Linked DNA regions of Oryctolagus cuniculus. The protein of the gene in region 1 interacts with the protein of each later gene in a pairwise test. Links are inferred from orthologs where the notes say so. Each region holds a gene or a part of one and is shown on either strand. Other genes may lie near its edges.

What was found.
Region 2: the proteins of PEX5 (region 1) and ECH1 interact in a two-hybrid assay, tested with the Homo sapiens proteins (2 studies listed by BioGRID and IntAct, with this or other methods). The link is inferred for Oryctolagus cuniculus from reciprocal best matches to the Homo sapiens genes PEX5 and ECH1.

Annotation. Positions count from the first base shown.
Region 1 is NC_091440.1:102,353,035-102,362,209, forward strand, and holds the end of PEX5 (peroxisomal biogenesis factor 5), read right to left. Parts: intron 5,612-9,175; coding exon 5,468-5,611; intron 5,325-5,467; coding exon 5,254-5,324; intron 4,908-5,253; coding exon 4,695-4,907; intron 4,392-4,694; coding exon 4,226-4,391; intron 3,891-4,225; coding exon 3,733-3,890; intron 3,567-3,732; coding exon 3,365-3,566; 3' UTR 3,346-3,364; exon of another isoform or gene 2,412-3,345; 3' UTR 2,154-2,411; downstream 1-2,153.
Region 2 is NC_091449.1:15,908,553-15,915,970, reverse strand, and holds the start of ECH1 (delta(3,5)-Delta(2,4)-dienoyl-CoA isomerase, mitochondrial), read right to left. Parts: upstream 6,044-7,418; 5' UTR 4,756-6,043; coding exon 4,704-4,755; intron 4,404-4,703; coding exon 4,196-4,403; intron 4,110-4,195; coding exon 4,021-4,109; intron 1-4,020. UniProt on the Homo sapiens protein: Isomerization of 3-trans,5-cis-dienoyl-CoA to 2-trans,4-trans-dienoyl-CoA.

The DNA.
Region 1 (9,175 bases):
CTGAACACTTCTGGCTGATGCATTCTCTTCCCCAGCTAGCATGTAAGCCAAGAGAGCAGGGCACTCTGCTTGCCTTGTGACGTGCACCCCTGGTGTCTGGAAATGCTTGGGACACAGCCGGGGCTTCATAAACATTGGCTGAGGAGCTGGTACTGTGGCCTAGTGGGCTAAGCCTCTGCCTGCAGTGCTGGCATCCCAAATGGGCACTGGTTCTAGTCCTGGCTGCTCCTCTTCCAATCTAGCTCTCTGCTATGGCCTGGAAAGGATTAGATGGCCCAAGTCCTTGGGCCCCTGCACCTGCATGGGAGACCAGGAAGAAGCTCCTGGCTTCAAATCAGCCCAGCTCCAACCATTGTGGCCATTTGGGTAGTGAACCATTTATGAAGATCTCTCTGTAACCCAACTTCTCAAGTAAGTAAATCTTTAAAATATAAAACTCCAAGAATAAAAAATAAACATTGGCTGAATCTGAGTTGGGTTCCAAATATGTACCAGGCACTGGTTGTGCAAAAAAAGCATCCTCCTGGGCACTTTCATGCTACCGAGAGCAGGTGAGGCATGTGAACCCGGAGCTGTGCCTTAAACCAGGTGCAAACTCGGTTCTTACGCATTTTTTTTTAAAACATTTATTTATTTATTTGAAAGTCAGAGTTACACGGAGAGAGGAAAGGCAGAGGGAGGGAAAGAGGGAGGGAGGAGTCTTCCATCTGATGGTTCATTACCCAACTGGCCGCAACGGTCAGCACTGCACGGATCTGAAGCCAGGAGCCGTGAGCGTCTTCCCAGTATCCCACGTGGATGCAGGGGCCCAAGGGCTTGGGCCATCTTCTACTGCTTTCCCAGGCCATAGCAGAGAGCTGGATGGAAGTGGAGCAGCCCTTGAACCACACCCATATGGGATGCCAGTGCTTCAGGCTAGTGTGTTAACTCGCTGTGCCCCCCCCCCCTTTTTTTAAGATTTAATTTACTTACTTGAAAGAGTTACAGAGTGAGACAGCTTCCATCTACTGGTTCACTCCCTCAAATGGTCCCAACATTGGAGCTGGGCTGGGCCAGGAGCCAGGAGCTTCATTCAGGTCTTCCTTGTGGGTACAGGGGCCCAAGGTCTTAGTCTCTTCCAATGTGATGCTCTTCCCAGGCCATTAGTATGGACTTCGATCAGATGTGGAGCAGCTTGAACCGAAGCCCACATGGGACGCCGGCACTGCAGGCAGCAGATCTACCCACCATGCCACGCAGGCCCTCATAAGCCATTTATTCAGCCAGACTTCGCCCCTTCCTGTGTGTGTGGCGTGGAGCCCACGCCCTGCGCCTGCTGCCTCACTCCCAGGCCAGTGGCCATGCTCCACCACTCTGCGGAGCCCAGGACCCCACTGCCCTGGGGTCACGGCCGCCACGAAACCACTACACATGCGCTAAGAAAACTCGGAAATTACCCAGAACTATGACGGGAAATTCACACCTAACTGTCACACGCTTACTATACCAGGAATACTCCTTCTGCCTTTTCAACACATGGTTTGCAAGGTAACCTTAAGCAGTTTGCTAACCTTTTCCCCTCATTGAAGTTAGCATCTACTGTCACTGGGAACTGTCCCCTAAATATCAGCAGCTATTTTATCTGCTATCTGGATAATTTGCTGACCCAGTTCTGAGTTTTCTTTTTTTCCTATTCTGATGTGGCCATGGACACCTATCTCCAAAATATTCATACTGATAAACACATAAATATTTGCTTGCAGTTTAAATGTTTTCCTTGGAATAGATTTCCATGTTGCGAAGGCTCTTTATATAATTCCTGACAAGACAGGCAAAGCCCAGTGAAACCTTTAGAAGCCTGAACACTGGAAACAAACTATCAAAACCAACGCACATAATCATAACAGAAAACAACCCAATGATGAGACAGCTCTGTGGAGTCTCCTTTGCAGGGGGAACTCAAGTGTAAAACTTCACCATCCGCAAACATCTGTGTCTCCTGCCAAGCCCGAGGCTCCAGGAGCACAGTGTCCTTGTCCGTCTTACCCGTCGTACCCGCACACGTTAGGTGCTCAGTAATTGCTGGGTAGATGGATGGGTGATCAACATGCCAATGAGAACTGGAAAGATGAAGACCAACCCACTTCCCACCACCAACTTCAGCAGAATTCATATCCACATTAGTTCCATTTATTCTTCATACAAATATTTTACAGTTTTATTTTTAAATCATTTACACATATTCATACAAAGAAAAATAAATTTCAGATGGAACCTGGGGCCCATGGTAGTTTAAAAAAAATCTCTCTGATCATTAGCTACTGAAGACAAGGCGGCAGGAGGCTTCGCAGTCACTGCCAGTGGTCATGCGTCTCCCCACGCAGGGCCGGGTGACAAGAATCCAGGCTACCTCGGCTTCCCTCCATCTTCACCTTGTGGAGGTAACATGAGGGGAGGGGGCTTGTCAACCCTCTCCCCCTGGAAATATTTCAAGAAGTATAGCAAAGGCTTATGGTAATACTGAACCCCCTCTCTGCTAGGAATTTGGCAAGATTACAATTTCTGAACCAACTTTCTAGAAGAGTTGGCCTGATTCCTACTCACAGTTCTTCCTAAGAGGGACTGCTGCATTCACCACGCTCCTCATCCCACTCGCTCCGTCCTCCCACCAAAGGCTCCAGGACGGAGTCCCTGATCTGATCCCATCAGTCCCCTATAGGCTCGTCCCCAAAATGAGCCTTCCTCCTATCCCACACCCAAACGCTCTCTGTAGCAACTGACCCAGCAGCTCCAGAGGAGCCCACGGGAACTCCCCCAGCATTACTGCAGCAGCATCCTATCAGGCGATCTAACTCACAGCCATGAGGTCCAAGAATGACAGAACTCTGTGTGCCCCTAACACAACTCCACTCTCCTCAGCCAGCTGCTAACATCCCATCCCGGAGTCGACGTCAGAGATGCACGATGAAGAACTGCCCACACACAATTGCCCAGGAAGGCTGGACTGTTACCAACTTCCAACAAAGCGGGGGAAAGGACAGACATGACAAATGTGGTGGACCCCACAGACACGGTGGCTGGTGACAGCCATCGGGTCCTACCCAAAAAGCAGCACCAGGAGAGGGCACGGTGAGCAGAGAGAGACCTGGGGCTGAACGTGCAGTCCCTGAATCACCAAAGGACTCAGAGACAACACAGTTCCTTTTCCCACGATTACGCAGGAACGACACGTGGACTCTGCACCCCTGCTCTGAGGCAGCTCCTGAGAGGCTGTCCCGCCAGCGATCATCAGCCCACCCCCTCGGTAGGCCCATTTGGGGGGAGGGAGTCACATCCCGAGCGGGGACCCCTCCAGCAGACACTCACAGGGCAGCCCATCCCACTGTCACTGGGGCAGGCCAAACATAGCTAGGAGGGCAGGCAGGTCCCGGGCATCAGCCGCCCCGTAGGCGTCACTCTGGCCCAACATGGACAACGCCAAACGCAGGGTGCTCCAGATGTTCTCGGACATGGCACCCCCTTCACCTCGAGGGCCTCGGCTTTTCCTCTGCATGTTCAGGGCCTCCAGAAAGTGTTCCACTGCCTCCCTGTGGGGAAAGGAGGAATGACCGCTTGTGAGCACAATGGAAGCAGGCAGGTCAGGTAGTCTTGGGAGACAGAAGGCTGCGAGGCTAGTTAGGATCAGAGGACGAGGGGCTAGGGCCAAGGCAGGAGAAACAGTGCGTTCATCCATTACTCCAGAGGTACTCTCACCGGTGAGCCCCAAGATTGATGCAGCTGATGCCCAGGTTATAGCGGGACCGGATATAGCCCGGCTGCAGTTCCAGGGCACGGCGGTACGCAGCCACGGCTTCTTCACTCTGGTTCCCATTGGCCAGGGTGGCCCCTAGCTTATTCCACAGCAAGTAGTCCTGGGAAAGGAGGGAGAAGGGGTTGGGAACATACAACTAGTGTGAGATCAAATTCTGCCCATTCCTCCACCTGCTCTGTTTAGCTAGCACATGTGACTATCCCATCGTGCTTCCTCACTGTGGCCACAGTGTAACCTCGTAACCTCTCCCTCCCCAGGCAGACTCCCTATGCCCAGATGACTCTGCACCCCCACCCTTCCTTCCGAACCCTCCCAAGGCAGGCAGTGCATGCAATGCTGGCCCATAATTATCTTGTGACTCCAAAATGCACAACAAATGGTCCTCCAGTAAGATACAGGGTCACATCCCATCCCCACCCCTGGCCTGAGGCTCACATCAGGACGCACGCTGAGGGCGGCTGTGAAGCAGTCCACGGCCTTGTCATACTCCCCACTCAGGTTGAAGAGGACTCCCAGGCCACACTGCACGTCAGGGTCGATGGACGTCGGGTCCAGGCGCACAGCTGCCAGGAAGAGCTCTTTCACTTCAAGAAATAGGGAGCTAGATGAGGAAGCACACACACCCCAAAACAATGTCAGTCCCCAAACAGCTCCTAAAAATTAGTCAATCACAGCCCCAGAATTCATCAACGTATCAGCCCTCCCTGCTACTCACAAACCCCAACTTAGAAGCCCATCTTCCTGTTTCATCCCAGCAGTGCACTGGGTACACGCAGACCTGGGCCTCCCTTCCCCCTCCTAGACCCTTGAGTCCCAGTCTGTCCAAACTTCCAAAATCAAGGCCACCTTCCTCCTGAGGCCCAGTTTCCAGTAATTAACCGTGCCAGGAAGCCCTCACACTCACTCAGACAACAGAGATCCCAGGAGGCGCTTGCTGGGACCCAGTCCTGCCCCGCCAGCCCCTTCTTCACCAGGCGCTACCAGATGTGCATAGGCTGGGGTGTAGCGCAGCCAGTCCCGCAGGGTCTCACAGGCCTGGCGCTGGAGGGACTCGTTGGTGAAGCTCACGGCTAGCGCCATCAGTGCTGTCCGGTTGTCTGGCTTTAGCTCCAGGCACCTGTTGGGCAGAGATGAGCACACTTGGTACCTGCAATGACACCGGCACCCAGCAGCAGTCTGGGATCCAAGCCAGATTTCGAAATGCAGTCACGACGGCTTCACCTGCCCAGGCTCCTCAGATTAAGACACAGAAACCTTCCGCCGTGAGAGCTAGTCACTTACAGGTCTAAGAAACGCAGCGCTCTAGCAGCGAGGGAACCCCAGAAGCCGCACTCTGGGCCTCAGTGCTGAGGAAACACTCTCGCCATCAGCCAGGGACACAGGGGCCAGGCCTGCGCTCCCGGCACCTTGGAGACCACCTGCAGAGCCCAGAACCACCTCGCTCCCACCCTCTGCGCACTCACCTCCGCAGCGCGCTGATGGCGAGGAGTTCTTGCTCGTTCTCTGCCTGGGTGGTGCCCAGATACTGCCACGCCTGCAGGGAAGTTGTCAGCTCCATCACCCTTCTGGTCTGCTGTCCCTCGTCCCTCCCCATCTCCCCCTAACCCCCATCCTGCCCCATGTGCACTCTGGGGCCGCCCTGAGAAGTCCTGTCTGAACTCGGGGTGAGCCACCCACTTCCATGTGCTTAGGGTCCTGCTGCACAGCGGCCTCGAAGAGCAGCACGGCATTCGGCAGGTCCCCTTCCTGAAGCCGCCGCAGCCCTTCTTCAAAAGGCTGAGGGTGGTCGCGCAGGGGGTTCTCTTCCTCAAACTGGTACCCCTGCAGGGAAGCAAGCACATGGGAAATGGTCTGAGAGGGAGCCACCCGGACCACGGCAGCAGGCACGCAAGGACGACAACCAGGGCAGAGCTGGAAAAGGCGGAGGCTTCCACGCAGGGACCAGAACCAAAGGCTGGCAGAGTCTCTGTGCTGGTCTCACAAAGACCACCCAGGACGACAGAAAGACCACTCAGCCTCACACCCGGGCTGCCAACTCCCGCTCACAGTAACCGGCTGCCAGGCAAGCCTACAGACTGCTCCACACTGGCAGCAGGCCTGTCATTAGGAAGTCCTCAGGCGCCCACAGTGCTACCTCGTTCGCTGACTTTTTACTCTACGGCAGAACAGGTTTCTTAGTAGGACCTGTTGAAAGGAATGAGATAAACCCTCCTTAGCTGTTCTAAGCGCACTTCTCGTTATTCCTAAATAATGCGATAACATAAAAAGGAAATGAAATTTGGAGTCAGAAGCTCTGAAATTCAAATGCAACTCTACCTGGCTCCCTGGGGTCACTGTGTGCACTAAGATGCATACAAGCACTTCAAAAACCTTAACTTATTCCAATTGCATTCTTTTCTCCCGCCAATTTCATTTTTAATAATTCTGAATATTAATCTGTGACCTGAACAGAAGTCAGAACTCGCTCCCAAAACACGTCTACAAGACACTGTCCTCTCCCAGCTGAGGATCTGTCATTCAAGAGAAGAGTTATGACGCCAAGAGTTTCGTCGGCTGGCACTTCAGCAAGGGGGGTAATAAGGTAAGACGCAAATCACTAGGAAGCCCTATGTCTTGGGACAAGTAAATAAAATGTTCCTTTTGCAATGAGTAAATAAATTCCATCACAAAGCAATATACCACAAGATATAAAATATTTCTAAGTCTGGTAAGGACAAATTAGAATAAACGAGGCCTGGGGCCAGGGCTGTGGCGCAGTGGGTAAAGCCGCCATCTGCAGTGCCAGCATCCCATGTGGGCACCAATTTGAGTCCTGGCTGGTCCACTTCTGATCCAGCTCTCTGTTATGGCCTGGGAAAGCAGCAGAAGATGGCCCTAGTCCCTGGGACCCTGTACCTAAAGAAGCTCCTGGTTCCTGGCTTCGGATTGGCGCAGCTCCGGCCGTTGCAGCCATTTGAGGAGTGAACCAGCAGATGGAAGACCTCTCTCTATCTCTGCCTCTGCCTCTCTGTCACCCTGCCTTTCAAATAAATAAATAAACCTTAAAAAAAAAGAATAAACAAGGCCTTTTTCATTTTTATTGTGAAATGTAAAGAATCAGAAACACACCCCATCAGCAACACTCTAAACTCTCAGAAGTAAATTGTTTGTCACAAAGGAAAACTGGACAGCTACCCTGGGAGTATAGGAAGGGAGAGAGATACATTATAGGAGACAGATCTGAGCTAAGCATTTTATAAACAGTATACTCGTGAAAAACAGTCAGGTTCTTGAGACATCTCTGTGCAGTTTAAAAACTCGGAAGGCAGAAAACGAACCTACTCCACGGATCAGCAAACTTTTTCTATAAAAAGACCTGCTTCGCAGGTCTGCCGCAACTACTCAACTCAAGCGTCACAGCACGCGTGCACCAGACAGCACGTAACCAAATAAGCATGGCTGCGTTCCAACCAAACTTTATGGACACTGAAATGTGAATTTCATAATTTTCATGTGACACAAAATATTGCTTTTTTCAACCATTTAAAATCATTCTCAGCTAATGGCCATACAGAATGAAGTATCAAGCAGATTTACTCCAAAGGCCAAAGACTGCCAACCCTTTATGAGAATCAGTAACATCAATCCTGGGGCAGCACTGTGGCTCAGTGGGTAAAACCGCCGCCTGCGATGCTGGCATCTCATAAGGGTGCCGGTTCTTGTCCCGGCTGCTCCACTTCTGATAGAGCTCCCCACTAATGACCTGAGAAAAGCAACAGAAGATGGCCCAAGTGTTTGGGTCCCTGCCACCCACTTGGGAGACCTAGGTGAAGCTCCTGGCTCCTGCTTTTGGTCTGGCCCAGCCCTGCCACTGCATCCAGGGAGTAAACCACCAGATAGAAGATCTCTCCCTCTCTGTAACTCTTTCAAATAAATAAAGAAATCTTAATAAAAAGTAAATAAAATAAATAGATCATTCTACCTCATCTACTGCCCAGCATTAATCCATGCATTAAACCACGCTGAAAGAGACAGATTACTGTCATCTACAACATAATTTCCTAAGGAACGTAATTCCTGCCTTTCAGAGCTACTAACATGATCAAGTATGAGATCCACACTTTTTGAAAGTATTGACATATAACTAGTATTATTTAGTGTAAAGCCAATAGAAAGGATAGCATTTTTTATGGAAAATTAATGCAATTAATGTTTCTAATCCTAACTATTCTAAGGCATAACCTCAAACAGGGTTTAAGAATCTACAAACATAATTTTTAACTAAAAATTATTCTGCATGTCATAAATGTAACTGTAATACCAGTAAATAACAGGAAATGCTGTGTATACGAAATTAACATTTTGTCTACGTTTATCAACAGCATGGACATTTTTATGTAAAAGGTACAACTTGCCACAAAGTCAATGAGCTCTATGAAGCTTACCAAACTGTCAGTAAATGAAGACTGGATAAAGAAATCATGGGATATGTCACTATGGAATACTACACAGTGGTTAAAAAAATGAAAAATAAAAAAAAATGAAAATCAGACATCTACAATAAAGTGGATGAATCTGGAAAACATCATGCTTAGTGAAATAAGCCAGGGACAAAGATCACATGTTCTCTCTGACCTGTGGTAACTAATAGAGCACCTAAAAGGCAAACTGTATACATGAAATTGACACTTTGAGAAGCAATAGCTAGAACAGCCATTTTGTTTTGACTGTTGAGGAACAATTTTGGGTTTTTTTATACTATTTGTTGAACTCTTTAATTAAAGTTAAACGTGTGTATAAAGTCAATTGAAAATAGATCTCAGTAAAAAATAAGAGTGGGAATAAGAGAGAGAGGAGGAGGAGGGTTTGGGAGTATGGGTGAGAGGGTGGGCATGGTGGGAAGAATCACCATGTTCCTAAAGTTGTAATTAGGAAGTGTATGAAGTTTGCAACTGTAAAGCTGTATAGTTCTGCATGCATTCCTAAGGACTTACTTCTAAAGGTACAATTTAAAAACTTGCCATGGAACCCCAAAGACCCTTAAGCTGGGTGGTAAAAATACCATCTTAATTGTTAAAATGATCATATGGATAAGATTAAGGGTCTGGTAAAAATAATAGATAGAATTAAAAAGGAGTGAATGCTACAAAGTTAACTGAAAATGAATCTTAGTGGAGAATGGGACCGGGAAGGGGAGGGGGAGGAGGAAGAAGGGTGGGAGGACGGGTATGGTGGGAAGAATAACTATATTCCTTGGGCCGGCGCTGTGGTGTAGTGGGTAAAGCTGCCACCTGCAGTGCCAGCATCCCATATGGGTGCCAGTTCAAGTTCCAGCTGTTCCACTTCTGATCCAGCTCTCTGCTATGGCCTGGGAGAGCAGTGGAAGATGGCCCAAGTCTTTGGGTC
Region 2 (7,418 bases), on another chromosome or scaffold:
GGTTAAGCCACTGGTTAGGACGCCTGCGCCGCCCACGTGGGACAACCACAGCTCCGGTTTCCGACTCCAGCATCCTGGGAGAGTGCCCCCTGGGAGGCACAGTGACGGCTCCGGGACCTGGGTCCCTGCACCCACACTGCACACCTGGACTGAGCTCCCAGCTCCTGGCTTCAACCCCTTGGCTGCTGTGGGCACCGGGCCATGAATCAGCGGATGAGAGATTTCTTTCTCCATCTGTTTGTCAAATAAAACTTTTTTTTTAAAGATTTATTTATTTACTTGAGAGTCACTGTTATAAACAGAGAGAGGAAGAGACAGAGAGAGGTATTCCATCTGCTGGTTCACTCCCCAAATGGCCGCAATGGCTGAGCTAGGCTGATCTGAAGCCAGGAGCCAGGAGCTTCTTCCAGGTCTCCCAAGCAGGTGCCGGGACCCAAGTGCTTGGCCCAGCTTCCACTGCTTTCCCAGGCCATAGTAGAGAGCTGGGCTGGAAATGGAGCAGCCGGGACTTGAACCAGCACCCAAATGAGATGCCAGTGCCACAAGCAGATGGCTAATCTATGCCACAGCGCTGGCCCCCAAATAAAATTTTTGAAAAGTAAGACGTTAGGGCCAGTGTGCTGCTGCATTGGGTTAAGCCGCTGCCTGTGACGCCAGCATCCTATATGGCACCACTTCGAGTCTCAGCTGCTCCATTCTGATCCAGCTCCCTGCCAACGTGCCTGGGAGAGCCGAAGATGGCCCAAGTGCTTGGATGGGGCCCCAGGCTCCAGGCTTCAGCCTGCCCCAGCCCTGGCCATTGTGTAAACCAGAGGATGGAAGACCTCTCTCTTTCTCTCTCTGTAACTATGCCTTTCAAATTCATAATTTCTTTAAAAACAGTAAAAATACTACTAATGATTAAATAACTAAAGGTCAGAGGAGTGTGGGCTCCAAGCAGGGCTGGGCCCGGGACGGCAGGACTCGCTCCAGGTCCCTGGCCAGCTCGCCTCCTCCTCGGGCCTGGGGTGTCTTCTCTGACCAGTGCTGATGGACCCCGGCAGCTGGCCAGGCTGCGCGGGCACTCGGGGATGGCGGCCTGGAGGTGGCTGCAGCAGTGCCTAGCACGCGACAGCGTCATAGGAGCCCCTGCTGTTCACTGGGTCTGCGCCTGACCGCCTGCTGGCACCTGTGGCTGCCACACCTGTGACGCGCCAGGGCTCTGCCCATGCCTTGCACAAGCTCCTCTCCGCTCACCGGCTTTTCTGGTTCCCTGCCCCACTCCCGCCCAGACCTGCGACATCGGCACTGGCAGCCCAGTGCAGTGAAGGGCCCCAGAGCATGGCCCCCCGGCGGCTGGCCCAAAGCAAGAACAAATCACAGTGGGGTGGGCATTTGGATCCTGCTCGGGACACCTGCTTCCCACAGGGGAGTGCCTGGGTTTGAGTCTGGGCTCTGCTTCTAATGCCAGCTTCCTGCTCACACACACTCGAGTCTCCTGGCTTCAGCCTGGTCCAGCCCTGCCTGGCTGTGTGGGCATCTGGGCATGGGCCAGCAGATGGAAGATCTCTGTCTTTCTGCCTTTCAAATCAACCAAAATCAATGACGAAGATCTTCAGGAAAAATCATTATGCAGAAGCTCCGCCTCCTTCCCTGGGGAACCTGTGCGTGCTTCAACGTCCTTCGGGCCATCCTGTCGTTATGCATTTATTTACTGTTTTGGTAAAGATTTTTTTTTTTTTTTGACAGGCAGAGTGGACAGTGAGAGAGAGACAGAGAGAAAGGTCTTCCTTTGCCATTGGTTCACCCTCCAATGGCCGCTGCGGCCGGCGTACCGCGCTGATCCAAAGGCAGGAGCCAGGTACTTCTCCTGGTCTCCCATGTGGGTGCAGGGCCCAAGCACTTGGGCCATCCTCCACTGCACTCCCTGGCCACAGCAGAAAGCTGGCCTGGAAGAGGGGCAGCCGGGACAGAATCCGGCGCCCCGACCGGGACTAGAACCCGGTGTGCCGGTGCCGCAAGGCGGAAGATTAGCCTAGTGAGCCGCGGTAAAGATTTATTTATTTATTTGAAAGTCAGAGTTGCAGAGAGAGAGAGGTCTTCCATCTGCTGGTTCACTCCCCAGATGGCCACCAATGGCCAGGGCTGAGCCACACCTAAGCCAAGAGTCAGGAACTTCTTCTGGGTCTCCCATATGGGTAACAGGAGCCCAAGCACTTGGGCCATCTTCTACTGCTTTCCCAGGCACATTAGCAGGGAGCCGGATCAGAAGTGGAGCAGCCAGGACTTGAACCCATAACCATATGGGATGCCGGCACTGCAGACAATGGCTTAACCTGCTGTGCCACAGTGCCGGCCCCTGTGGTTTTTTATAATCACAGGAAACAGCGGCTACCTCAGTAGCTGCCCGACCTGGACCTGACGCCTGCTCCTCACGGCAACCTGGGGTGGGGGGGCAGGTGCTGGTAGCACCGCATTTTCTTCAGACCAGGAGACTAGGATGACAATGTTTATGGCATGGCAAAGGGTGACTGTTTGCCAGGAAGCCGCTTTGAGTCCCGGCAACTCCACACTTCCGATCCAGCTTCCTGCCGATGCTTCTGGGAGGCGGCAGATGATGGTGCAAGTCCTGGAGCTGCTGCCACCCACATGGGAGACCCCGATGGAGCTCCTGGCTCCTGACCTAGGCCTGGTCCAGCCCTGGCTGCTGTGGGCATCTTGGGAATGAACCAACTGCAGGGAAGAGGTCTCCCAGTCTGTCTCTCAAATAAAATGAAAACACATTTAAGATATTTTAAAATAGATAATAAATAAATTAACAACCTGTGCCCAAATCTCATGCTGATTTGGGAACCATCCCTGCAGCCCAGCACAAGAAAATGTAATTGCAACTAAGCTGCTCAAACAAGAAATTCACCAGTGATGGATATAACCATGTCCCAGCATGTTAGATATAACTGTGTCATGGAATCTGGAGTTTGCACAACCCCCTATTGCTACACGCCAATACCCAGAGCACAGTGCAAACTGACTCGAAACACACACACAGGCCTGTGAGAGCCATTTTCAGAAGAAAAGATGATAAACAGAGACGGGCCACAAGAAGACCCAGATGTCAGACCTGGGAGAATGGGATTTTAAAGCAGCCCTTACAACTACACTCACAGGGGCTGGCGCTGTGGCACAGCAGGGTAAGCCTCGGCCTGCGGCACCAGCATCCCATAGAGGTGAGGGTTCGAGTCCCGGCTGCTTTTCCGATCCAGCTCCTGCTAATGCATGGAGGAAAGCAGTGGAAGATGGCCCAAGTGCTTGGGCCCCTGCACCCATGTGGGAGACCCAGAGGAAGCTCCTGGCTCCTGGCTTTGGCCTGGCCTAACCCCAGTGGTTGGGGCCATTTTGGGGAGCGAACACAGCAAAAGGAAGACCTTACTCTCTCCTCCTCTTCTATAAATAAAATAAATCTTAAACAAAAAGAAAAATTAAAAAAAAAAAGCTCATGACAAACAGAAAGGAAACTTCAGCACAGAAATAGAAAATTTTTAAAATAAACCCCATGGAAATCAGAACGGACAGCTGAAATGCGAAGAATGCAGGCGAGCCCAGCAGGCGAGGGTGTGGGAGCGCCAGGCCAACTCGGCTACAGGCTCTCAGAGGTCAAGGACACAGGGCCAGGGCTGGGAGCCCACGCGCTTCTGCTCCTGGCTACAGGCTCTCAGAGGTCAAGGACACAGGGCCAGGGCTGGGAGCCCACGCGCTTCTGCTCCTGGCTACAGGCTCTCAGAGGTCAAGGACACAGGGCCAGGGCTGGGAGCCCACGCACTTCTGCTCCTGGCTACAGGCTCTCAGAGGTCAAAGACGCAGGGCCAGGGCTGGGAGCCCACGCGCTTCTGCTCCTGGCTACAGGCTCTCAGAGGTCAAGGCTACTTTCCAGAGCTGAATGCCTTAAGTGAGGACTTCAAGAAAGAAAGGATCGAGGCGCTAGTTGGAAGCGCGGCTCTGTGGCCAGGCGCGGGGAGGCGGGGTGCGCGGCGCCGCAGGTACCTGACGAGAACATCTTCCCCGCCCCGGAGATCACCACGGCCCGGCACTCGGAGTCTTGCGCTATTTTGTTGAAGCACTCCACCATCTCGCTGCGGAGGAGCCAGGGATGAGGGGCCGCACCGGCTCACGGCCATCCGTCTGTCCCCCACCCCGGCCACCCCGAGGGCCGCCAGACCTCCAGAAAGCCTTGTTCATGGCATTCCTCCTGTCGGGCCGGTGCAGCTGCACATGCAGGACATGCTTCTGGGCGGCCGTCACCAGGAGGGACTCGTAGCTGTGGCCCGGGGCTTCGCAGGGGGCTGCTCTGGGGGCCTCGCCGTGGGCGGAGGTGCCCAGCGGGCGGAGGCCAAGGCTGAAGCCCGGGCAGCTGGGAGCTGCCAGTCCTAGGGAGACAGAGGAAGGAAGGGCCTCTGAGGACCCCCGAGGGGGCACACAGCGCTTCTGAGAGCAGAGGGCGCACCAGGGCCCCACAGGCGGGGAACACGGCCCCTCAGAGACTTGGGTTTAACATCAGGGTGCACTGCTCAGTGGTTCCAGACCCATGGGGACATGGAGTCATCAGTGCCCCCAGACTGTAATGAGTAACCCTTTAGGCGGGGGCGCGAGGACCCTCCGTGACCCCGAGTGGTCCTACAGCCGCTTGGACAGCACAACAGATCCCCACAGGTCAGGAAGTGACTCACGCCGCATCAGCAGGTCGCGGAGACCGCGAGTGGCCGCCATCGCCGTCGCCATCGGGACCGAGTCGTGGAACCCGGCGGGAGGAAGCCAAGGGGCGGGCCCAAGAGGCCGCCATGTCAGGTGAGGGCACGGAAGCCGCAGTGGAACAGCCCTAAAGCGCCCCTTCCGCCATCTTTACTAAGGGCAACCAGCAACAGCGCCGCAAGCCGGCCGGCATGCTGAGGCTTAAGCGTTAAAACTTTGTCCCAGTGGGAACCGTGCCCGAGGAAACAACTGTTATGACTGCGGGGTAAAGTTTATCACAGCCCGGTCCTGTGTCCAAGGACGCAATGGCCGCAGTCACTTCATGTTAACTGGTGAAGAGATCATGCGGTAAAGGCACGGGATCACAGGCGGGCTGCGGGATCTAGGCAGCGGGCGTCTAGCTCAAGGACGCGGGCGCAGAAAGAGCCCTCGGAAAACGCCCGGAAATGCCAGGGGCTGCGGGCCAGTGGGTGGAGGGGACGCTGCTTAACGCGCATGTCTCCTGATTTTAGCCCGGATAGGCAGGCTCTGCCGTGGGGGACAGTCCGCAGGGCCACTGGAGCACACTGGACCTCCTACCCAGACTTCCAAGATGTGACAGGATACAACTTTAGGACATTTGGTAGGATGCTTCGCTGTAAAAGGTTAGGTTGCACACACATGGGATGTTGTCCCTGCAAGGAGTGCTAACAGGAGATGAAACTGCGCCCCAGGGCATACTGGGAAAACACTGATCCTGGGGCAGAGCAGGTTAGGGGGCCTCCTGCAGCACCTGCATCCCATAGTTACTGGTTGAGTCCCGGCTGCTCCACTTCAGATCCAGCTCCCTACTAGTGTGCAGAGAGCAGCGGAGGCTGGCCCAAGTGCTTGCACTCCACCTGTGTGACAGACCCCGATGAAACTCCTGGCTGGCCCAGCCCTGGCCACTGCAGCCATTTGGGGAGTGAACCAACAAAGTCTCTCCCTTCCTGTTAAACAAAAAACCTATTCTTTTGCACAGCAAGGTTAACAGCATATTGTCTATTTCCAAACAGCTAAGGTGGTTCTGGAACGTTTTCATCACAAAATTATGGTAATATATATATACCAATTAAGCTGACTTGATCATCAGACAATGTGTCTTTATCAAAGCATTACATAAAGGGGCTGGCACTGTGGCACAGCAGGTAAAGCCACAGCCTGCAGCGCCAGCATCCCATATGGGCACCAGTCCTGGCTGCTTCCGATCCAGCTGCTATGGCCTGGGAAAGCAGAAGATGGCCCAAGTCCTTGGGCCCCTGGGCCCACGTGGGAGATCCACAAGAAGCTCCTGGCTCCCGGCTTCAGATCAGCACAGCTCCAGCCATTGTGGCCAATTGGGGAGTAAACCAGTGGATGGAAAACCTCTCTCTCTGCCTCTCCTGTTAACTCTTACTATCAAATACATAAATAAATCTTTAAAAAAAATAAACCTCACATAAGAAGTAAAAGCCAACGCTAGTGGGTTTCCAAGTTTATGGCAGCAAGGTGACTGTAGTCTCTCCTCATCCAGAGGTTTCAAACTCCCCTGGCGAAGCCGCTCTCCGACAGAAGCCATCTGGCTTCAGATGCCAAGTGTTAAGTTTCAAAACGTCCTTACAGGAAGCTCACAAAACAAGTGTTCAAGTACATGTAGTGAACCCCAAGGTGAAGCTGTGACCCCCTCCTCTGCAGGCCACATCTCTGTGTAGGTCAAAGTCCTTAAGCCAAGTTCATGTCAGACTGCACCGCACCCCCCACGAGCCAGCCATCTTTACAGGTTCCCATCTTCAAGCGGGAGGGAGGGGGATGACACAACGTCCCGTTGCCACTGCTGCCCCAGCCTTCAGCCCACGCCACCAGCAGGAGTTTGCGTCCAGAGTAGCATCAGGGTAGCAGGCTGCTCGTAGACACACTGCAGTGCTGCTGCGGTAGCCACACACCTCGGAACACCTTTACGACGGGGTTAAGTAAATGACAGTGGCAAGGGTAAGGAAGCCAGCTCAGAACGTGGAAGACAGGACACCATACAATGCCAAGAACATTCTTTTCAGGGAAAAATTCACAAAAAACTGCTAACCTCAAACTTACTAAATAGCAGGTGTTCACTTTTTAGAATTAAGGCCCATTATGGGGTCTCTCTGGAAGTTTTAAATTTTTAACACCATTCACTTTTTATTTTCATTTTATTTCAAAGATGGATACAGACCTCCTTCCTATCCACTGGTTCATTTTCTAGAGGCCCAGGAATCAACCTTGGTCTCCCCCATGGGTGGCAAGGGCCAAGCACTCGGGCCACCATCTGCTGCCTCCCAGGGTGTACATTTGCAGGAAGCTGGATGCAAAGTGGAGTGGCCAGAACTCCACGCAGGCATCTCAAGTGGTGACAACCACGTGCTGTACACCCAGCCTGCCATTTCCCTCACGCCACTCTGGAGCTAGGCCCTGGCTTGGGCAGGGCCCACTAACAACGCCACCGGGCCTGCCAGACTTCTCGCCAAACGGCTCCACTCCAGCGTCAATCCTGAGTCTGCACCCTGGCCTGCCTGCACCTCTGCAGAAGACTGAGTGGGAGGGAGGGAGGCACCATGTCCTGACACCCCAGCAAGTTTGGTCTTTATTTTCCAAACAATTTTTATTGAAATGTGCCAAGAGTACATGGGCAGCACAAATGTATGAACAGGAAAAAAAAATCA